Linked DNA regions of Struthio camelus. The protein of the gene in region 1 binds, or shares a complex with, the protein of each later gene. Links are inferred from orthologs where the notes say so. Each region holds a gene or a part of one and is shown on either strand. Other genes may lie near its edges.

The links.
Region 2: the proteins of CIC (region 1) and YWHAQ are in contact, whole or in part, in a crystal structure (PDB 6KZG), measured with the Homo sapiens proteins. The link is inferred for Struthio camelus from reciprocal best matches to the Homo sapiens genes CIC and YWHAQ. Residues at the interface, in NP_001291744.1 of Homo sapiens: Arg1207, Ser1208, Met1209, Ser1210, Glu1211, Thr1212, Gly1213, Thr1214; in NP_006817.1 of Homo sapiens: Lys49, Arg56, Lys120, Arg127, Tyr128, Gly169, Leu172, Asn173, Val176, Tyr179, Glu180, Leu216, Ile217, Leu220, Asp223, Asn224, Leu227, Trp228.

What each region holds. Positions count from the first base shown.
Region 1 is NC_090980.1:391,184-402,263, reverse strand, and holds the start of CIC (protein capicua homolog), read right to left. Parts: upstream 5,422-11,080; 5' UTR 5,305-5,421; intron 4,873-5,304; exon of another isoform or gene 4,537-4,872; intron 4,473-4,536; exon of another isoform or gene 4,164-4,472; intron 3,132-4,163; 5' UTR 3,096-3,131; coding exon 749-3,095; intron 1-748. Other genes in the region: ETS domain-containing transcription factor ERF, read left to right, coding at 7,394-7,415, 10,904-11,080. UniProt on the Homo sapiens protein: Transcriptional repressor which plays a role in development of the central nervous system (CNS). In concert with ATXN1 and ATXN1L, involved in brain development.
Region 2 is NC_090944.1:24,948,608-24,959,762, reverse strand, and holds the start of YWHAQ (14-3-3 protein theta), read right to left. Parts: upstream 4,880-11,155; 5' UTR 4,565-4,879; intron 3,239-4,564; 5' UTR 3,149-3,238; coding exon 2,855-3,148; intron 1-2,854. UniProt on the Homo sapiens protein: Adapter protein implicated in the regulation of a large spectrum of both general and specialized signaling pathways. Binds to a large number of partners, usually by recognition of a phosphoserine or phosphothreonine motif.

The DNA.
Region 1 (11,080 bases):
CAGCAAGAACACATTAAAGTGCTTCCAACACGCCTGGGCTGCCAACACACCTCCAACACACTAACTGCACGTGACAATCGTGTGGGCTGGTGCTCATGCGTGGCAATTAACAAACATGCCAAGAACATGCCAGCACAGCCCCTCCCTGCCAACACGCCAGGACGAGCAGCCACATTGCACATGCTTGGTCATGGGTCGCAGACCCCAGCCTGGCCTTGGGGCACCGACACGCCACACACGTGCCACACTGCCCCACTCTGGCCCTGCGGGCACACATGTGTGCGCACACACGCCTCCCGCCGCTGCGCCGAGCCCCTGTGACTCCCACACACGTGTGGCCCAACAGCACCATGGCCCCCGCCGACCCCATGCGCGTCACGACCCCCGAGCCGCACGCATGCCGACACACACGTGTCCACCCCGGCCATGCACCCACATGCGGGGGGCCAAGCGTGTGCAGGAACCCCCCAATTCTCACGCTCCCCTGGGCTGTTCCCGTGTTCCCTGTTCCTATACGACCCCCCTGTTCCCACACTCCCCATTCCCATATACCCCCTGTTCCCGCATCCCTCCTATTCCCGCGCCCCTCGTTCCTGTGCCCCCCAATTCCCATTCCCCCTGGTTCCTGCCCCCCCATTCCCACGCCACCCCCCCAGTTTCTGCCCCCCCCTCGTTCCCACCCCCCCCCCAGTTCTCGCGACCCTCGTTCCCACCCCCCTGCTCCCGCGCCCCACTGCTGGCCTCCTACCCGTGCCGGGCCGCCCCATGATGATCTCCTTGCGGGGGGCGGGGGGGCCGCCGTAGTCCCCGGGCACGATGACGGGCAGCAGGGCGGCAGGCGACGGGTGGAAGGCCACCGGCTGCAAGGGCGACGAGAGCCCGAAGGCGGCAGCGGCAGGCCCAGCCCCGGCCCCGGCCCCGCTGGGGGGCAACGGCCCCGGCTGCCCCACGGCGGCGGCGGCGGCATGCGCCCGCCCCACGTTGATGGGCACGGGCGCTTGGAGCTGCCCCTTGGCGGCGGGGCGGGCGTCGCGGGCGGCTTTGCCGAGGAGGCGCGGGCCGTCGGGCGGCTTGGCGGGCGGCAGCGGCACGTCGGGGTTGCGCACGATGACGGGCGAGTCGCGCTGCACCGCCGGCACCCGCCGCACCGCCGGCCCCGGCTCCGCCGTCAGCCCGGCCGGCGGCGACAGCAGCAGCAGCGGCGAGGGCGGCTGGCGCGGGCGGGCGCCGAAGGGCGACGGGGGCCCCGCGCCGCCGCCGCCCCCCAGGTCCGCCTCGGCTTTGTGGAAGTCGAGGGCCGGCGGCGGCGGCGGCTCGGCCTTGCGCTTGCCGGGGCTGACGGGCACGGTGAAGGCGAGGCTGGTCTGGAAAGTGGGCGCGACGCCCGAGGCGTGCCGGCCGCGGGGCGGCCCGTGGGACAGCGCCTCGGGGCTCAGCCCCTCGCCGGCCTTGGGGGCGCCAGCGCTGACGTGGCGGCTGCGGGCGGCCGCCCGCTGCAGCACCGGCGAGGCGCTGACGGGGCTGAAGTTGGCCGGGCGGAAGCCGAAGAGGGGCGAGGGCGAGGGCGACGGGGCGGGCGAGAAGGGCGACTGGTTGGAGACGGGCGAGAAGGACGGCGTGCCCGAGCGCGAGCTGCCCAGCGACACCAGCATGACGGCGGCCTCGCACTCGTCGAACTCGAAGCGGGACAAGTCGGCTGGCGGCGGCGCCAAGCGGGGCCGCGAGTCGCCGCCGCGGGAACCGCCGCCGCCGCTGGCCTCGCTGTCGCGTGACGTCTCGTCCCAGTCGAACTCGGCGCTGCCGTCGCGCGGCCCGCCGGGCCGGCCCTCGGCCAGCCCCTCCATCTCCTTGGTGCGCATGGAGAGGTGCCGGGAGCAGTAGCCGCGCCGCTGCGACTCCTTCATGCAGCCGTCGCGCGAGCACAGCCGCCGCCACTGCTTGCCGTTGAACTTCTTGCGGATGCCGTTGGGCGTGCACACCACGTCGCCCTTCTTGTACTTCTGCTGTGCCGCCGTCAGCGGCGTCCGGCACCGCGAGGCGACGCCGCCCTTCTCGGACGGCGCCCGGCTGCCACCTGCCTCTGGGCTGAGCCGCGGCGGCGCCGGCGACTTGGGGGGCGACAGGAGCCGGGCGGCCGGCGGCGGCACCGGCGGCGGCGGCGGGTCGCTGTCCGCCCGCACGGCGGCGCTGATCTTGCACACCTCGGCGTCCTCTGGCTGCTTCGGCTCCGGCGCCTCGTCCTCATCCGGCGGCTCGGCCGGCGGCTCCCGGCTCCAGGGCGGGCGGAGGAGGCGGAGGTCGGAGCGCGGCACCCACGCCGTGTCGCGGTGCGCAGCGGCGCCGGCAAAGCGGATGCGGTAGCAGGTGGCTTTGGCGCCGATCTCCACCACGGTGCCTTCGCGGTAGCCGCCGTCCTCCTCCTCCTCCTCCTGCAGGCGGGCGCAGACGGCCGTGCCCAGCGCCAGGGTGCCTGGCGGCGGCGCGGCGTCCAGCACCACGTCCGGGGCCGCCGCCGCGTAGTACGTCAGGCTGCGCTCGCCGGCGAACTGCACGGCCAGCTCCCGCCCGCGCTCCCGCACCTGCTTCACCACCGCTGGCTGGAAGAGGCCGCCGGGGCGGCGCGCCAGCACCCGCTGCGCCCGCAGGCGCCGCAGCGCCGCCCGGCCAGGGCCGCCCGCCTCGTCGGCTGAGTGCTCGCTGGCCGTGTCGGTGCCGGAGGAGGACGGGCCGGGCGCCCCTTCGGCCTCCTCGTCCTCCTCCTCCTCGCCGCTCCACTCCTCGCCCGCTGGTGGCTTCTTGCGTGGTGCCCGGGCCTTGAAGGTGGCCGTCTTGCGGCTGCCCGGCGGCTCCTCGCCGCTGGCGTCCCGCGGCCCTGGATCCGTCTGCACCGCTGCTGCCGCTGCTTCCTCGCCGCCGCCGTCTTCCTCGCCCTCCAGCTTTGGCCCGCTGGCGGCACCCTCGGGTGCACGGCGCTTGGGCACCTTGGGGCGGCCGGTGGGCGGCAGTCGCCCGCTGCTCCCGCACAAGGACGAGGAGGAAGAGGAGGAGGAAGAGGAAGAGGAGGAGGAGCTGCCGGCCTTCCTCACCGGTTTCATCTTCCTCTTGCCAGGCCGGGCTTCAGCCACGGGGAGCTGTGGGGAGAGAGTTAAAGTGGGGGGTCAGGGGGGGTCATCAAAATGCCTGGGCTGGGCCTGTGGCCTCTACGTGGCATAGGGGCACACCGGGGTGGGGGGGGGGAGAATATGGGGGGGTGGCCCCTAGTGGGGGGCTAGTATCTTGGGAGGGGAATCAGGCATTTGGGGGGGGGGAATTGCCCCTGGAGGGGGGTGATCATCATCAGGGGGGGAAATTGGCCCTTAGGGGCAGCTTGGGGGGGGGACTAGCCCCTTGGGGGGGGAATTGCCCCCTGGGGGGGGAATGGTATCATGGGGGGGCACCTTGGGGGAGAGAACAGCCCCTTGAGGGGGGACGAACCCCTTTGGGGGGGTCCTGGTACCTTTAGGAGGGGACCATCACCCAGGAGTGGCTCCTGGGTGTGGGGGGGGACCAATCCCTTGGGGGGAGCAGCCCCTTGGAGGCACCTTGGGGGGGGGCAGCAGCCCCTGGGGGGGTCACCTGGTCCCTCGGGGGGGACATCGACCCCTTGGGGGGCACTGGTTCCTGGCAGGGGGGACACTGGCCCCTGCTCGCAGCTCCCCAGGCCCGGCCCAGCAAGGTCTCTCCCCCCGGGCCCAGAGCCCCGTCACAGGGCCATGTCTGCCCTCTCCGTGACCCCCCCACAACCACCCCCCCGGTCCCCCTCAGGGAAGACTGGGTGGATCCTGCCCCCCCAGCCAGTGGGGTGGTCCCTCCTGCCCCCCTGCCCGGTAACCCCGGGGGGCCCCCAACCCCCCCATTCCCGGAGAGGGGTGGTATGTCCCAGCAACCCCCTCCCGGGGGGGTACTTTTGGCCATTCCCCCCCAAAAAAAAATTCGGGGGGGGTCGGTCCCTAATAGTGACACCCACTATTTGGAGGTTTTGGGACACTTCCCGTTTTGGGGGTGTCGGTGCCCCCCTACCGCTCCCCCTTGCAGTTTTTGAGGGGGCGGAGTTGGTACGTCCCAACCTTCCCCCTCCCCCCAGTTTCGGGGGTGTTGGTACCTCCCAGTGCCCCCCCCATTACCTGTTCGCCCCCCCCGCGCCGTGCGAGGGGGGAGCCTGGCGCAGCCCGCTCCCCCCCGCTCTGCGGAGAGGTTGGTACAGCCCGGCCCCCCCTGTCCCCCGCGGGATGGTCCAGCCCGAGCCCCTCTCGGGCCCCTCCGAGCCCCTTTTACTCCAACCGACAAAATGGTGAATGAATCTGGACCAGCTGGCGGCGCCGGCCAATCGACGGCCACAACCGCCCGACTGGCGGCGGGCGCGGCCAACCGGCGCGCAGCACGGCCCGGTCTCGGCCCGCCCCCTCAGACTGTCACTCCTGCCGGCCAACCGCCGCCTCGCGGGGGCGGGACAGCTGCGCGGCGCGGCCCGCCCCTCCGCCCTCGAGCGGCACTTACAGTAGCCAATGAGAAGGCGCGGCTGGGGGCCGCGGGGAGGTGCTGCGTATACAGTAGCCAATGGAGGCCCCGTGGGGGCGGGGCGAGGCTAGGCCCAGACTTGTTTACCTGGCGCTGCGCGAGGAGGAAGCGCGGGGCCGCGCGGCGGCTGCCGGGACGGGTAGTTCCTCGCGGGAGCGGCGCCGCCTAAGCCGGTGGGCGAGAACTACAGCTCCCAGCATGCCCCAGCGAGGATGCGGGAAGGGGCGCGCAAGGGCGCCTGGGAGAGGTGGTCCTCCGCGGCCGCCTGGCAGGCCGGGGAGGTGGCCGCGGCTCCCGGCATGCCCCGCGCGAAGCCTGCCGGGAGTTGTAGTTCGCACCTCTCCCTGCCGGCAGCGCGGCGCGGGGGCTGACGGGAGCGGGGCTTCGCAAGAGGTGGCGATAGCGGCCCCCCCTGCCTTCAGGTGTCCCGGGCAGGGAAGCGACTACGGCTCCCGTCAGGCCCCGCGGCACCGCGGCCCGCTGGGAGTTGTAGTCCCGCGCGGGCACCGCCCCCGGCTTGGGCGCGCGGGAAGGACTACAGGTCCCGGCATGCCACGCGGAGGCCCCTCCCCTTCCTCCTCCCCCTCCCGCCCCTCAGGGCCGGGGAGTCCAACTCCTCGGGGAGGGGGGAGGGGACAGCAGCCCCCTCCCCGCGCCCCCCCGCTCCCCTCCCGCCCGCCCCCGCCCCTCCCGGGGGCGCTCCATTTGCATGTCATTTGCATCTCATTAGCATATGCATGAGCTCACCCGGCGGCCTCTCCCGGTCCCCGTCTCGCCCCGTCCGGGCCCCTCGCGCTTCCCCTCAGCAACAGCGGAGCCGCCGCCGACAGACGCCCGGCCAATCAGAGGCCGGACCGGGCACCCCCCCACACTCCCCACGTGGGGCCCGGGGGCGGGGCCCTGGCCAGCCAATCTGCCCCCGGGGCGGCCGAGGGATGAGGTCACCGCTCGGCGCTCCCATTGGGTGGCGGCAGTGCCAGCGCGGGCCAATCGCCGCCCGCCTCCGGCAGGACGGGGAACGAGGAGAGCGGGAGGGGGGAGGAGCGCACGCGGGGCGTGTGTGACACGCTGGAGCCTGCCGGAGCCCCGCCCCCGCCCCCGCCCCCGCCCCGCCCCCGCGCGCCCCGCCCCGCCCCGCGCACGCACGCGCACTGGCACGCCCCGAGCGGCGCGCGCTGCCGCGGCGTGGGGCGGGCGCGCATGGGGCGAGCTCACGTGCCGTGCAGCGGCGCGGGGCGGTCGCGTGCACCGTGCAACGGCGTGGGCTGCGCCCGCGTGGGGCGGGCCCACTGGGGCGTGCATGTGCCGTGCAACAGCATAGGGGGGAAAGGGTGCACGCGCGGCCTGTGCGCTCGTGCCGCGCACTGCCGAGGGGTTTGCGTACGGGCGCGTGCACGCGGCACGCGCAGGCGTGGGGTGGGAACGCGCGCCGTGCAACGGCGTGGGGGGAGGTCCCGGGCTGCGCTGCCCCTTTAAGAGCGGCTTTTGCCCCCCCCCACCCTGTTATCAGCCGGGCTCTGATAAGGTTTTAATTGGGCCCGGCGGGGCTTTGCACGGCCCTCGTGTGAGGGGGCCCAGTGCCCCTCGTGCCTCAGTTTCCCCTGGCCGGGGTAAATGGGCAGGATTTGGGGTGGGGGGGAGGGGTAGCCGCTTAATGCATCTCCTGCACCGCAAACTTCCAGCCGATAATTATAGTCGGGGAAGCTGCATTATTTATACGGCGCCTATTTATAACCCGGGGCCCGGCCCTGGCGGCACCAGCCCCGGCCCGCGGCCCCCAGCCGGCGCCCGCTGCCGCCTCCGGCCTCCCGGCTCAGCCCTGGCCCCGCGCATGCGAGGCCCCGTGCAAGGTCCTGCAAAGAGATGTATGCGAGAGCTGGTGCAGGGGTGCGTGTGACAGCCTGTGCGATGGCACCCATAAGGCAGCGTGCGAGTGCACGTGTGAGGGCAGTGCAAGGCCCCATGCTGGGATGCGTGCGAGGCCCTGTGTAAGGCTCCATGCAAGGCTCTGTGTGAGAGTGCGTGCGAGGCCCCGTGCAATAGCACATGTGAGGGCACGCAGAAAGCCTTATGCAAGGCCCTGGACAAGGGCACGTGCAAGACCTGGTGCAGGGGTGCGTGCAAGGCCCTGTGCAAGGGTGTGTGCACGGGTGTGCGCAAGGCCTGGTGCTCGGGCACGTGCAAGGGCCGGGGGTGCAAGCGGCCCAGCAAGGTGCACGGGCGCTGGGGAGTTGCATCAGCCGCCAGCACAAACGAGGCAAAACAACCTGGGAGGTTAATTACCCCCCACGGGGGCCGCTCATGCCAGGGCCTCGCGTGCTGGGGCCTTTGCCTCCTGGCCTGGCCCTGCGGCTGCGTGTGGAACACGCCGGGCCTGCATGTCATGAGCTTTGTCGGGTCTCAGCCCAGATCCCAGAAGGGGTCTTCATGGGGACCCCCTTTCCCCTCCTGCCCCAGATGTCACTGTCCCAATCACCCCTCCCCATCTGCCCCCTCCTGCCTCATGGACCCCGTTGTCCCCAATTGCCCCCTCCTGCCCCATGTGCCTCCCTCCTACACCATTGCCCCTTTCTGCCCCATCGCCCCTCCCCGCGCGGCCCCTTTAAGCGCCCCCTCCTTCCCCTCCCCCCGTGGGCGTGGCCGGGCGGGGAGGCGGTGGCGGGAGGGGGAGGGGGGCGGGCTTAGTGTCCATGGCGACGCGGCGGTGACGTGAGCAGGGGGCGTGGGCGTCCCGGGCTGGCGGGGAGGGCGGGGGGCGGCGGCGGCGGGGGGGGGCGGCGGGGGGGCCGAGCCCGACACCGACCCGGCGGCGGCGGCGGCTGCAGCGCGCGGAGCCATGAAGACGCCGGCGGACGCAGGTGGGGACTGCGCCCCCCCCCCGGGGCGGGGGGGGACTTACCCGGGGGGAGGGGAAGTTTTTATATCTGTAATTTTATTTCGCCGCGGGGGGGGGGGGAAGAAGAGCGGCGGCGCCGGTTGACGGGGGCGAAAGTTGCCCCCCCGCCGCCGCCGCACAAACTTTGGGCCCCCCCCGCCCCACGTGGGCGGCCGCCCCCGCGCCCGGATCTACTACTGTTTTTAAAGGGGGGGGCCGCTGGGGGGGGGGAGGAACCCCCGGCGGGGGGGCGGGGGGCTCCGGCGGAGTTGGCGGCGCCGGGACCTGTTGCTTCGCGCGAAGCGGCGGCGCCGGCCGGGCCCCCCCATAACCAGGCGCCTGCGGGGGGGGGTATTTGTTCCCCCGGGGGGGTCATTTATTTGCCCAGGCGGGTGTTTATCCCCGCGGGGGAGGTTTTATCCCCGCGGGGGGGGGGCATTTATTCGCGGGGGGAATCTCCGCGGGGGGGTGTTTATCCCCACCGGGGGGGTGTTTTCCCGCGGGGGGTGTTTTTCCCGGGGGGGAGGGGCGCGGGGGGGGCTGTGCCACGTTGTGTGTGCGCGCGGGGGGGAGGGGCGCCGCGGGGAGGGGGCGGGGGGGTCGTGTCCCCCCTCCCCCCGTATCCCCCCTCCCCCCCCGCGCCAAGTTGCCGTCGGCGCCTTTTGGGAACTTTTTTTTTGTTCCCGACAAACAACGAGGGTTTAAGGTGGCGCCGGCTGGGGGCGGGGAGGGGGGGGTCGTCGTGACCCCCCCCAACACCGCTGGGGGGGCGGGCTAGCGGTCACGGCGCCGTGGGGGGGCGCCCCCCCCCCGCGCGGTGCCACCTGAAACGTGTTAGGGGGAGGCGAAGGTTGGGGTCGGACTTTACCCCCCCCGGCCCACCTTAAGGGGGGGGGCGGGCGCTGCGGTGCCCCCCCCCCCGCCCCGATTGTCTGCAGGAATCCGGCCGGGCTGGAGCGCGTCTCGCTCCTGTTCAAACTTGTCCCCTCCCCCGCCCCGTACCCCTGCCGCCGCCGGCCCCGCCCCCCGCCCGCGGCAGGCCCCGCCCCGGCCCCGCCCCCTCCCCCGCGGAACTCGCCGAAACTTTGCGCCCCGCGGGGGGGGGGGAAGGGCGGGGCGTGACCCCCCCCGCAGAGTTGGGGGTCCCGGCGCCCCCCAAGTGTGGGGGCCGGGGTCCCTGTGCTCCCCAGGTGTGAGGTTTGGGGGGGGCCGGGGATCCTCTGCCCCCCGCGTGGGGGACCCCCAATAAGGGGGGGGTGGGTGGGTCCCACGTGCGGGACGGGATTGGGGGGGGGGACATGTTCCCCCTATCTGGGGGGTCAGACTTGGGGGTCTGTGTGTCCCCTCCCGAGGGGCTCATCGTCATGACCTCCCTCCATGTGTGGGGCCGGGGGGGGGGTGATGCAATGCAGGGGGGGAGCGACGACACGGGACACGAGTCCGGGGGGCCCAGGCGTGCTCGGGGGGGGCGGGGAGGAAACTTGGAGCGGGACGGCCGGCGGACAGGGCGTGCTTTGTGTGCGCGGGCGTGTGCGCAGGCGTGTGCGGGGGGGGCCGGTGCCCACGCGTGCTCCAGGCGCTGGGGCGGGGGCGCAACGCACACGCGTGTGTGGGGGGTGGGGGCGCACACACCAGCTCGCACGCATGTGTGGGGGGAAGGTCACTCTCGCACACGCGTGTGTGTGGGGGAGGACATGCTTGCACACGTGTGTGCGGGGGGCCCTCACCTGTGTCGTGCCCCCCTCCAAGGGCTGTGCAGAGCTCGGGGCCGCGAGAACCCCCGGACACCTGGGCCCCCGGGGCCGTGTTGTGCTGGGGGGTGTCCCGGACACCTGGGCTGTGGTGGGCTGGGGGGCGTCCCGGATGCCTGGGCCCCATGGCCCCCCCGCAGGACTTGGGGGGGGCGGCCAGGAACAGTGGTCCATTGATGGGGCCGCGGCCGCCGCTGATGTCACGTCCCAGCCCCCCCCTTCCCCCCTCCCAGCTAATTAGCGAGAACAGGCCCCGAGTGTGCTGACGAGGGGGAGGGGTGGCCAGAGGGGGCTATGGGGTGCCACTAGCCCATGGGGTGAGGCTGGGCGTGGGGGGGGGTATGGGGCTATGGGGCACCAATAGCCCAGGGTTGTTGTTTATTGGGCCACTTATGGGGTGCCCCATACCCGGGGGGGCTGGTTATGGGGCAAAGGTGCTGTTCATGGGGGCAGTTATGGGGTGCCCCATAAGCCAGGGTTGCTGCTTATGGAGGGGGCAGTTATGGGGCACCCCATAGCCTGGAGGTGCCAGTTATGGGGTGCCCCATAGCCTGGGGGGACCAGTTATGGGGCACTCCATACCCTGAGGGGGGCCAATTATGGGGGCTGGTTATGGGGTGAGGGTGCTGCTCATGGGGGCAGTTATGGGGTGCCCCCTACCCTGGGGGGGGCTGCCTATGGGGCAGCTGTGGGTGGCGGCGGGGGGGCTGCTGCTGCTGCTCCTCCTCCTCCTCCCTGGCAGGTTATTTTTAGCGTCTGCCCCGTTGCCTGGAGACGTGATTTTGGGGGGAAAACGAGCTGTTTTGGCACAGGATGCCCTGCTTTGGCGGGCGGGGGTGTCACTCGGGTCCCCCCCCCTTGGCGCCGTCCCCCCCTGGCCGGGAGGCAGCTGAGCTCATCGTGGCGGCGGCAGCTCCATTAGGGCCCTGCATTATTGATGCGCTCGGGGACGCCTGGGCCCCGGGAGCCGGGAAACGGCCCCCTCCCCCCCCATCTCCCATCCCGCAACCCGGCGCCTTTTCCCGGGAATCCGGCCCGGCCGCGGACTCATAAAGGGGCCCTTGTGCATGACGCTGAGCTCAGCCCCGGCCCGGGGGCCGCCTGGCACGGCCCCCCCCGCCCCACAGCGGCTATGGGGTGGGTGGGGGGGCCCCCCCCATCCCGGCTGGCAGCAGCCGGCGGCCTTGGCCGGCAGCCCGGGAGCCTGGCGGTGCCGGGAGAGGCCGGCGGCGGCAGCCGGTTTCCTGTCCCCCCCCCACCCCGGGTCCCTCCCCGCCAGGTCCCCGGCGGGGTGACGCGCACCTTGCGGATGGGGTGGGGGGGTTAACCCCTTCAGCCCCGCTGAGGGCCCAGGCATCCGAGCCGCCCTGCCTCATGGCGTAGAGGGCCCAGGCGTCCAGCTGCCCCTCTACCCCACGGTGCAGGGAACCCAAGTGTCTGGGCGGCCTCCCTGGTTGTCCCAGAGGACCCAGGCGTTCGGGCTGCCCCTTGCACAGGGGGACCCAGGCGTCCGGGCAGCTTCCCTGGCCTTTTCTGGAGGACCCAGGGGTCCAGGCTGCCCATGGCCCGTCCCAAATCTGCACAGGGGACCACAGCATCCAGGCTGCCCCTTGCGCAGGGGATCCAGGCGTCTGGCCACCTTTCTGCCCCGTGGCATGGGGGACCCGGGCGTCTGGGTTGCCTGGCCCTGTGCCGGCTGAGCCCTCTCCGCCCGCCGCAGGCTTCGCCTTCCCGGACTGGGCGTACAAGCCGGAGTCGAGCCCGGGCTCGCGGCAGATCCAGCTGTGGCACTTCATCCTGGAGCTGCTGCGCAAGGAGGAATACCACGACGTCATCGCCTGGCAGGGCGACTACGGCGAGTTCGTCATCAAGGACCCTGACGAGGTGGCCCGGCTCT
Region 2 (11,155 bases), on another chromosome or scaffold:
TTTGACAAAGTCAAATCACTCCTTCATTAAAGAGCCACTCTCACTGGAAAGACTAGTCATACAATTAACAGTTAAAAATGATTCAGATCACATCTACTCTTACTTGCAAGATAGACAATTAAAAACAACAAACGTCTTCACTGCTTGGCATGAGATGGAATAATATCTTACTGTGACCACTGACAATGTTTGTACATTAATTAAATAATTAGTAAAAGTTACATATATCAATTAAAGCAGGCCATCAACATAATTTTCAATGCTTGTATTTTAGCGGTGATGAAATCTAAGTTCAAACCATGGCCTAAAAATAATAGCTTACCTAATTGGCTTGGGGCATCCTTTATGGGGGGGAGGGGGGGGGGAGGGAGGACTGCAGATTCAATTAACCATTAGTAGTATTTTGTAATGCTCATGAAAGTATTTTAAATAAAGGTTTCTAGAAGAGCAGATATATTTCTCTTTAAAAAAGCTGAGTTGCACCAGTGATGAAAAAACCTTTCGAAAAAACTGTTAGTAGTATGACTAACACAGCAGTCACACTCCACCCAGCACATCCACCCTTGCTAAATCCAAATACTCCAGCTGACAAGCAACCTTTCCACGCTATTTGCCAGCAGTTGTTTCAGTTTAGCTGCCTTCTTAGAATTAAAAAAGCATCTTTGAGATTCAACTCAAAAAAAGCTAACTAAAAGCAGTTTCTATAGTATTACTAAACATGAAGTCATAACTCCAAGAGGAAGGACTCAAAAGCACCTTGACTGAGCTTTAGGAAATTGATCCTTTGTAGTGCCTGCCCATTGCGAGTTTCAACCTCTCTGTTGCTGACTCATGGATCACAGGAGCGGTAGACGAAGGGGGAAAGGAAGAGAAACCTAACTGCACATGGCATTCAAAGGACAAGTAAAAATATGAAGGTGAGCGGCAAACGGTGACATCTCCTTCTCCCAAAGGAAGGCATATCTTGGCCAGGAGGGTAGAACAAGAAAAGCATGCCTGTTTGTAGGTTTCTGTCTTCGCTACTTCCTGCGGCCTTCCAGGGGAGAAGTAAACCAGAAAGGTGCCAACCAGGCTACAACTGAGAACAGAGCAGAAAGACTGGAATGCAGGAAAGAGCTCAGCCAGTACAAGAAAAAGCTTTTTTCCCCCCCATGTTAAAAGGTTTGTGTTAGCGCAGCTACTAAACTACCTGCTGTCCACCATTTGATGCAACAGAAAATTTCAATATGGACATTGCATGAAACGCCTTGCTATCTTTACCATTCCATTTCAAAGACAATTAGTCTCCTTACAGAAGGAATGAGCTCCTTGTTAAGATGGCGCAGCAACCAGTACAAGATGTTGTCCACAATCTCCTCTTACGAGCTACATTTGGTATAAGGAAAGAGATCTTAAGAAGTCTAAATAATAAGCTTTATGTGCAGATCAAGACACTAGTTCCCAAGCCGGAACACCGCACAAAGGAGGTTGAGAGGAATGATGAAGAGCATAAATATCAGCACTAATTATAGCGAGTCTCATCACAGGAAAGAAGAATCAGTGCCCTACGCAAGTAACATCACTTTCTCAAAGCTGAAATTTTTGAAATTTTTACCTATATCTGCAACTGTAGAAACAGCTTCTTTGAAAGACATGGACTCTTAACTGAGAAATCAATTCAACTGATTCATTAGGCTAATAACATTTCCAAATGACTCTGAAGCAAAGATAACTCATTTTGACTTCTTTAGAAAACAATTCCAAACAGAAACATATGAGAATTTTCAGCACAATCAAGAAGTACAGCTCCCCTGTATGCGACATAGCATCAAGAAGCAGTTTCAGTTACTTCCAAACAAACCAGCTTCAGATTTGGGTATCCTAACCCAACTCAGGATTCATTTACCTCAGTAAATGTTTATTTCCTTGTAGACTTGCTTCTTCTTGTGTTTGCAATACCAGACACCAAAAATACATTTTTAACTGAGGTGTAATAAGCTACTAAAGATTACTTGCCACACAATTCTTAGCGCATTACACCTATCCAACTGCCTGCAGCCAGAACTCCCTGATCACGTAGAAGAAGGTGATGCACGTTCAGCCCCTGCCACAGCACAGTGTACTTTCACTGTTAATAGCACCTGGAATTCTGCTCCTTATAGCAGAGTAAATTCTGTATTACTGGGCTTCTTCACCTGCTGAGGTGTATTATGTCAGTCTTCAAACCATGGTCTTACCTTATTCTGTAACTACCGCAACTTCGTTGTAAAGATCCACTGAAAAGTCAATTTGAACATGACAAAGCCAATTTCTGCAGATCTTTATTTCTACGCTCACTGAAGATGATGTTTTACTTTATAAACTCACACTTTTACGTAAAAGGAAAGTTTTCAAGATGTCTTAAAGACCTCTGGAGAATTTGTTTCTTGCAAAGAAACACTAAGTGAAAGAAACACACACCCAGTTACTTTAAATGCTTTTAACAATGTACTAGGTCTCATCTGAAGAAAAAAATTCATGTATCATTTTGTTTTCCGCTGATCTTATGAACAGATAAGCTTACTAACCGCAGTGCAAACAGACATGAGACCAAATCCTCTGCGACTCTGCAATTACATGGAGTAACACTGTCTGTGGGTCTCAAATACCTTTGCACAGACATGCTCCTCAGCAGCGCAGACGATTTTCCTCCTTACGCTAACCCTCACAACAGTTGCGGAAGTTACTGCACTGACTTCCCCTACCACAGCATGATATTGTGCATGACGTTCCTCAGCCAAGTTCACAGTCTTACTCCTCAGGACAGCAGCATACATGAATACTGTTTCTCTCTCTCAAAGAGAAGAAAAGAGAGGGCAAAAGAAACTCCACTCACCAGCACAGTGGTGCAGATGGACCTGAGCTCAGATTCCACCTTCTCCCGATAGTCCTTGATAAGCTGCATCTTCTTGTCACTGGTGTCTGTCTTCTGCTCAATGCTAGAGATGACCCTCCAGGCAGAGCGCCGCCCACCCACTACGTTCTTGTAGGCCACAGAGAGCAGGTTGCGCTCCTCGTTGGAAAGCTCAGCACCTTGCTCGGTTACTGCCTTCATGCAGGTGGCCATATCATCATAGCGCTCAGCCTGCTCAGCCAGCTTGGCTTTCTGGATCAACTCGGTCTTATCCATGGTGGCTGGCAGAGGGGTGAGAGCAGTAGAGTAGCAAAAGCAGGAGAAGCTGGGGATGTCACACTGTCAAGAAGAGAACGCCCTGAAAACCTGCCAGAAAGAAGACAGTAACCATGACTCTGGGTTGAAGTGATACAGAACATGATCTTATGCTGCTCCTCATAACTAGGCCTGTAGCGAGTCTTGTATCCTCTTCCTCATCTCCAGGAGCGTTTCCTGGATTGAAGGACTGGCAGCATCCTGCTCCTCCATGCAGAGCTAGGGGGAGAGGCACCAGTCTCAAGGGCCCATCCCTAGGGAAATGGCGACCTAGAAACTGAACTGGGGAAGGCATACTCAGCTCTACCCAGAGGGAAGCAGCCTAAAGACCAAGTGCTGGAGACAGCTATCTTTTCAGAGCTGCCTTTTTGTCCTCACTCTGCTTCCCTTCCTTACCTCAAGTGAACAAATTAACACACTGCTTAGCAAGAACCTGGAGAAAGATATCTAGCCACCAGTAAGCCCTGCCCAAAGTCCATCCCCTGTACACCATCTGCCCTGCAGGTGAGCACTGAAAAAGGAGGGGGTATGCCAAAGCCATTACAAGAGATTGGAACCAGCAAGGAAAAAAAGAAATCCTCCTCCCCAGAAACAAACAAACAAACAAAAAAAAAACCCCAGCGATAAGTTTGCCCCTAGGAACCCAAGGAACGGTTTAAAAATAAACCGGCGAACAGCGAGGGAGGCCCGGGGCGCCAGGCCAGGTGCAGGACGGGAAGCGCGGCGAGGAGACCCGTCTCTCCTCGGGCTCCCGCGCTCCGCTCCGCTCGACGAGACCCGCGGGGCGGGCGAGGCCGAGGGAGCCGGGAGAGGCCCGGGCGCGGCGGGGCGGCCGGCCCCGGGCAGCTTCGCCTCCTGGCGGCGGGGCGCGGCGGGCGGCGACAGGGCGGGGGAGCGCCGCAGGGTCCGGGGCCTCCCCGCCTCCACCCGGCCGCGGCGGGAGCGGCGGCGACTCCGGCCCCGGGACGGCGGCCCCCAGCGCCGCGGGGGGCGCGGCGGCGGCTCCGCATTCCCGGGCGGGCGGGCGGGGAGCGCTGTGGCACGGCAGTGGGTGGGGTCTCGGCCCCGGCGAGGGCGGGGGCCCGGCGGCTCCACGCCGCGGCCGGCCGCGTCCCCAGGGACAGCGGGGGGGGGGTTAGGGGGGTGGCGAGGAGGTGGCGGGGCGAGAGGCGAAGGCGGCCGGAGGCTGGCCCCGCGGCGGCGGGGCGGAAAGAGGAAGCCGGCGGCCCCGCCGGGTGCGAAATGGCGGCGCTGGCTGGCGGCACCTCCCGCTCCCCGGGGCCGCCGAGGACTCCACGCCGCGCTCACAAAATGGAGGACGCGGCGGCGGTGGCGCGGAGCCCCCTCCCGCCGGCGGGCGCGCGGCGCCCCGCTCACCTGAGTCCGCGCGCTAGGCCGGGCCGGCTGGCGCCACCGGATCGGCTGCCTCGCTCGGGGCTGTGGCGGAGAGAAAGAGCCGCTCCCGTCTCAGGCAAGAGCCAGCGCTAAAGGGCGTTGGCACAGGCAAGCCTACCCGCTGCTCAACCCGCGCCCACGCGGCCAATCAGAGCGTCTTCTTCGCCCGAGGCCCCGCCCCTTCGCGCCCCGGCAGCCAATCGGAGCACAGCGCGCCGCCGCGGGGGCGAGCGCAGGCAGGGCACAAGCTCGGTTGGCCCGTGGGCTGCGGCTGGGGCCACGGGGTTTCCTCCAATTAGATCCAGGGTGAGATGACGTCACTGTCGCCATAGTGATGCTGCTACAACCCCCCCCTTCCCCCCCCCGCTGGCGTGCCCCCCTCCTCCCCCCAGCCGCACCACCTCCTCGCCCTGGCAGCCGGGGCTCGGCCGCGGCACGAGATAGCGCGGGGGCGCGGCCGGGGCGGCTCGTGCGGCGGCGGCGGCGGCGGCGGCGGCGGCGGCGGCGGCGGCGGGGGGGAGGGGGGCGGCCGTGGTGGCGCGAGGGGCCGCGGCGCGCGCCGCGGGGGGAGGGGAGGAAGCGTCCGGGCGCTGCCGGGTGGGAGGGGCGCGGCGGGGCGGGGGCTCTCTGCCAGGGGGCCGCCAGGCGGGGGCCTCCCCCCTTCCCCCGCGGCCGCGCGCCCTCCGCCTCCCGAAAAGGCCGCGGCTGCTCTTCCGCCTCCAGGTCGCTGCGGCCAGCGCTGGGCCCCCGCGGGGGCCGGGCCGGGCCGGCGGCGCCGCCGCTGACAGGGTGCGTGAGGGCCGCGGCGGGCGAGGGGCCCGCCGGCCCTGGGGAAGAGGTGCCGGAGACTGCGGTGCTGCTGGGGCGCAGACGTGGGCGCGGGGGTCGGCGATGGCGCCGGCTTCGGGAGATGGAGGAGCAGGAGGCTTTGGGACGGCTCTTTTGGGCGGTCGGCAGCAGCAGAAGCCGTTGACGGAGGCTGTTGGGCTCCCGGCGTTGGTGGGGCCGCGCTCGCCGCGTGCACTTGCGTGGCTAGGTGCGCGGTTTTCCCCGGGGCAAATGGACAGTCAGGGCTTGAGTTCTCCCTGACTGCAGGACACGGAGCCCGGTGTTGGGCTCTCACAGCAGAGGAATGAAGATAATGATAGGGTGAGAGTGGGGTGTCTCTGACAAAGGAAGTTATGCCCTTTCGGAGCCACTGGTCTAGGATGAGGTGTGTTTTCCTGAGGCCAGAGAGGAGGAAGGACCAATAAGGTCTGTCATACATTCCTCCCTGTTTCTCGACCTAATGGTAGAGTCTGGAGGAATTTCTTTTTGTCAGGAATAGTTAGTTGCTCTGGCCCTGGAGACGCTTATCCTGACATGCAGTATTCTCAATGATAGATTTCAGAAGCCGTTTATATGAAGCTATCATGACTGTGCTCTGCCCTTAGGGTCTGGGTGAGAGGAAAGTTGATTTTAGAGATGTAATATTCCTGTGGTCGTGAGGCCGTGGGCAGGGGAAGACAAGCATTTGGCACAAGCGACAGTCAATATATTTGCTTTTTTTCCTTTCATCTGGAGTTAATTCTCAAGAGGTCAGAGATACAATGGACAGAGGTTAGAATTTTAGGTTCGTGCTGTTACGTACTGAATAATAAAATGCTTTCCAGCCATGAATTAATAGATGTGAGGCAACTATTGCTGCTTGTCTTTTCGAAACGCTAATTGGATGGTCTTCTTCATGCTTTAGCATGATTTTTTTCTAGACTCATACTGCCTGAGTCTCAGAGGAAGTGGTAAAGAGATAGTGGGTTTGTGTTGTTTGCCACAACATTCAGCATACAAAATCCAGGAGTGGATCAGATACTGTCTGTCAGGCCTTAGGCTAGTTTGGGTTCACAAATATCTGTGCACTACAAAGTCTCTGTGTTGAAGTGACGAAATTTCTCACCTTTGATTTCAGCATCGCCAAATATAGTAATGTTCAGCAACTTCAGCATCCAGATGGGATGATGAATTCTCTGAATCAACCTCAGGATATTGTCTCAGCTTGTAAAGTTCTTGATCTTTGTTTGGACTAGGACTGAGATTATATATGTGGAAATTAGGTCTATGCTGTGAAGAAACCATTATTTGTCCTTGCCATGTAAGTTTGGGCATTTATTCTATTATAGCAAAGGACCTATTGATAATACTCTGTTCAAAGTTAATGAAATTCTGTCATAAAGCCTTATGGAAATATATAACTTATCCCAGAAATTACTGTCCTGGCAACTTGCTACAATTTTACATTGCCTTTTTATTCTTCCTTGTCAATAGGATATTTTCACTTAAGTGCCTAATGATCGCCCCCATTCACATATGAAGTGAAAGTGGTAATAAAAAATCACTAAATCAAAACTGACCAGTGGCAGCACAGAACCTTTCTTGATTAATGTCACGTCTCCATCAGAAATAAAACAATGTCACCTACAAAGCATGGATAAGTAGATTTTATTGGAGCAAATCTGACCTAATGAAAGGCAAAGCTGATCTAATCAAGACTACTTCCTTCACTGTCCCTCCTCAAAAATTAGGAAAATATTAGAATTACAGTCTGCCATACAATTTAGTTCACACCTCTCTCCCACCCGTTGTAAGCTTGCATTAAGAGATGCAGGACCATCATAAAAAAACTGGGAAATGCTGGGCATAGCAAGTCATAGGCACAGAGGACTTGATATCAGCTGTGCAATGAGTCCAGACTTACCTGCACGTATCGAGTCTGCTTTATATGTGCAGGTCAGCTGCATGGCCTGTGTCTGGCTTCAGACCTATTAGGTGTTGTGGCTGCTGTCTAGGTTTGTTCAGATTTGGGTCCTGTGGATTTATATGCCTTAAGACTGCATCGTGATATGGTCTTTAATGACCTAGCCATAAGCTAGTTTCCCCAGAGGAACCCTCTCTCACAGTAGGGATGATATTCTTGGGAGAGCTTTTATGAGAGGAGGCTAGAAGAATTTCCTGCCTTTAGTTTAGCAATATAAAAGCTAAGAGGGAGATTTTACGTTGTCTTAAAAGGAGTACAATAAATAACAAGGTGGGAGAATTGTGATTTAAACTGAAGACAAATGTGTATAAACTGTCAATTAAGGAATTTAGGCTTAGAATTAGAAGATCTTGGCTTCTCAGAGCAATGGAGTTATGGAACGGCTTTCTTTTATTGAGGGCAAGAAGCCCACCTGCTCTGAAGGCGGACAGCTTATAAGAAGGATTTTGTGATGTAGTCACCTGAGATAGCAGGAGACTAAACTGCAGAAGCTTTACAATTCTGTGTTTCTAGTTAATATGGTTTTTAATGCTTATTGCATGTATATTTTAATGTACAGTTTCCTGCACAGCATTACATTTCATTGAATCTAAAATTATTAATTTCCTTTAAGGCTTTTCAGGAGTGCTATCATCCTGCTAAACATTAATGACTTTATTTCTGTAACAGGGTTATGAAATGGATGGTATTATCCTATCTTACATTCAGGAAATGGAAAATATCAGCACTTCCAGATACATATATGGAGAAATGGAAGACCTTCAATTCCAGAGTAGAAAACACTTTATAATATTCAATGTATACTGAAAGTTCACATCCCACTGACTTCAGGTGTACCTGCTGATATTCAGCATCTCTGCGTCTCTGCCACAGATTACTCAAATGAGATGGGAGGGACATGGGAAATGTTGCTCACATTTGAGAGTAAAATCTGAGCCTTTGACTGACACTTTCTCTTCACTCATACCTACAGTAGTTACTGTTAGATTCCGCTTCTCTCTTGCGGTGAAACAGGTATCACATTATTGCACGTAACAGTATTTCTCTGCATCCTTTCCTTCTGTATCATGTGGTACTGAAGAGTGGAAAGAGCTCTGGGGAGTAGAATCAAGCTTACTTTATCTGTGTTTCTACCCCCCCCCACACACACACCCACATAGATTGCCTTTCCTCCTTTTGGCCTCTGGGTGAGGGAGGATGCTGGCTAAACGCAGAACAGTTCCCTTCATGCTGTTAGCATAAAAAGTAGAGGTATGTTAGTACTAGTCCTAAGCAGGTCCTGTGAACCTCATGTGAAGTGACTCCAAAGCCTGGGAGAGAGCCACAGAGGATTCCTGCTCAGCAAGACTGTGCACAGTTCTAGCTAGACACAAAGCCTTCGCAGATCCTCTCTTACTTTCTTCCCTGGCTCTGTCCCAACAATAGTGAGCTGCAAGTGGGAGGACAGGGGAGCCAGATGGAGCCAAATGCAATCCCTGAAAGGTGAGGTGTACCTTTTTTAAGGAAAGGAAACAAATAGCCTTTTAATGGCTTTTTCTCAGTTAAATGCAACTTGCTCTGCCAAAACATAATAAACGGCGCCCTCATGCATGAACAAACAGGAGTGGCAAAAGTCACTGAGACTGTCAAGTAAATTTTATCCTCCTGAAGCTTTTTCTCTCAGGAGGTAACAGTAGGGCCCATAGAATTAAGATAAATGCAGCTAATTTCCTTTTAATGATGATTTGATTATTCTTTCATTACAAGTAACTAGTTCCCTTTTCTAATTATATGGCTTGCTTTTATCCAAGAAAAATTACCCAGTTTATGGGATTGTACCATTAAGGTCCCGCATCCATGAACAATTCGTTGTGGTGCTATGAAATTGCTAGTTTCATAAAATGTCTATATTGCAAAAGATATGTATAGATTTTTGTCTCTTCTGCTATTTTGCAATGGCAGTGACAACTGAGAAAGCAGGTAGGAGGAATGGGTGTGCAAGACATAAAAATGAAATGCATAGGGCAGAAAGCATAAACCCTACACGTTTAGCATGGCTTTAAGGGAGTGAGTAGTATTGGAGGGAAGGGGGCACTGGGGAGCAAGACAGAAATGTATAAAGGTGCACTGGTACTTCATCAGTTGGTTGTTTAGTAAATTCAGAGAAAGCTCTTTCTGTTATGCCTTTGATCTCTGCACTTCTTCCTTTTCATCTCCATCTTCTTCCCCTGCAGCTGCCTTATGAATGCACGTTATCCAAAGGGGAGATGTGACATCAGTCAACCAGATTACACAAGGTGGGGGGGTGATTGGTGGCAGGCAGTGTAGTTAACAGTATGTTTAAGGTATGAAGAAGGGCTCAAGGCCCACAGGCAGGTTGCTGCGGGCCACTATGATTAGCTTGGTTTCCTAGTCTTGCGTAGGTGTGACGGCCCAGGGGTGTAAGCAGGCAAAGCTGGTGCAGAGAGGTAATATCTCTTACTAGATCAGCTGATAGAGTTGGAAAAAAATAGACCGGCATTGGATCTGAAAGCATCCAATGAAGTTCTCTATATATGCTAGATGGTAGGGAATTTTTTTTTGTTCTATGCCATATATAATGTTAGCATCAATAGGTACTTGAAAGTCAAGTATTTGCCTATATAGGGAAACTGACTGGTAAAGGAATTATTAATAATTATACCACTGTAGGTAAGCTAGGGAAATTCCCTACGTGGAAACTCCATTCTAGAAAAAAAGCCGCTTTCATTCTGAAATAGTGTGTCTGCTAAGGGAGCAATAGCAACAGAGCTATAGTTAGCAGATTATTCCCAGTGTAAGCAAACCATAAGAATAAAGGAAGTAAAGGGAGGAGACAGAAAAGACAGAGGTATAAAGAAAGTAGATAAGTGGTTAGCCAAAGTTAGCTGTGGGAAGATGTGATGTAACTATCCTTTCTCACGTGAACTTTATAGGCTAAAACAAAGCTTATAGGAAGTCTCCGAAAATAAGTTTGTTTCAAGATATGGTATTTTTTTCAAACTCAGTATTGAAGAGTTCTTGGTCTTCGATCACCTTAAGCTGGAAGTAGGATGTGTATGTATTGAATTCTTCTGTAGTTTGTAATGACAAGATTCTTGGTTATAAGTTTAGTTAGGGCTTAGCACTGTCTTCCTTATACAAAGATCAGAAACTTGAGGACTATGAAAAATGCATGCTAGATCCCTAGCTAGTCGTGATTATGTACCTGGTGCACAATTAATAAAGGCTTACATATAGAATGGAATAATCCTTTAGTGCAATAGGGGGTGACGTATATTTATAGGTACCAGGCTGAAATACACTTTGTCAAGCCAAGAACAGGGCACTATACATGCATCTTAATAATTAAATTAATTGAAGTGGTTAACATACAGCATTTTTGCTTTACTGAAATATGTTTTTTACCATCATTCTTATGTGTCGTCATTATAAGCAAGCTGCTTAATGATGGCCCATGCTAATGCAAATTATATCACTTAACTACATATATTAACATTATAGAAAGCCTCAGATATGCAGGATGAGCAACCATGGAGCTACAAGCAAGAAAAAAAGCTCAAGACTACTGAAACAGGTACCGAGGCAGTGGGTTGCCTCCTACACTACAGGGATGAGATTACCCAGGGGAAATTTTATCTTCTGGAGAAACCTCAATGAGAGAGTGATCTCCCATTTCCCTCTTTGCACATTCTGGTGCTAATAAGAGAGTAGAGCTTTCTGTTGAGGTAACGAGCTTGCTTATGATCTATAGCACAAAAAATAGCAAGATCACACATTGCTGA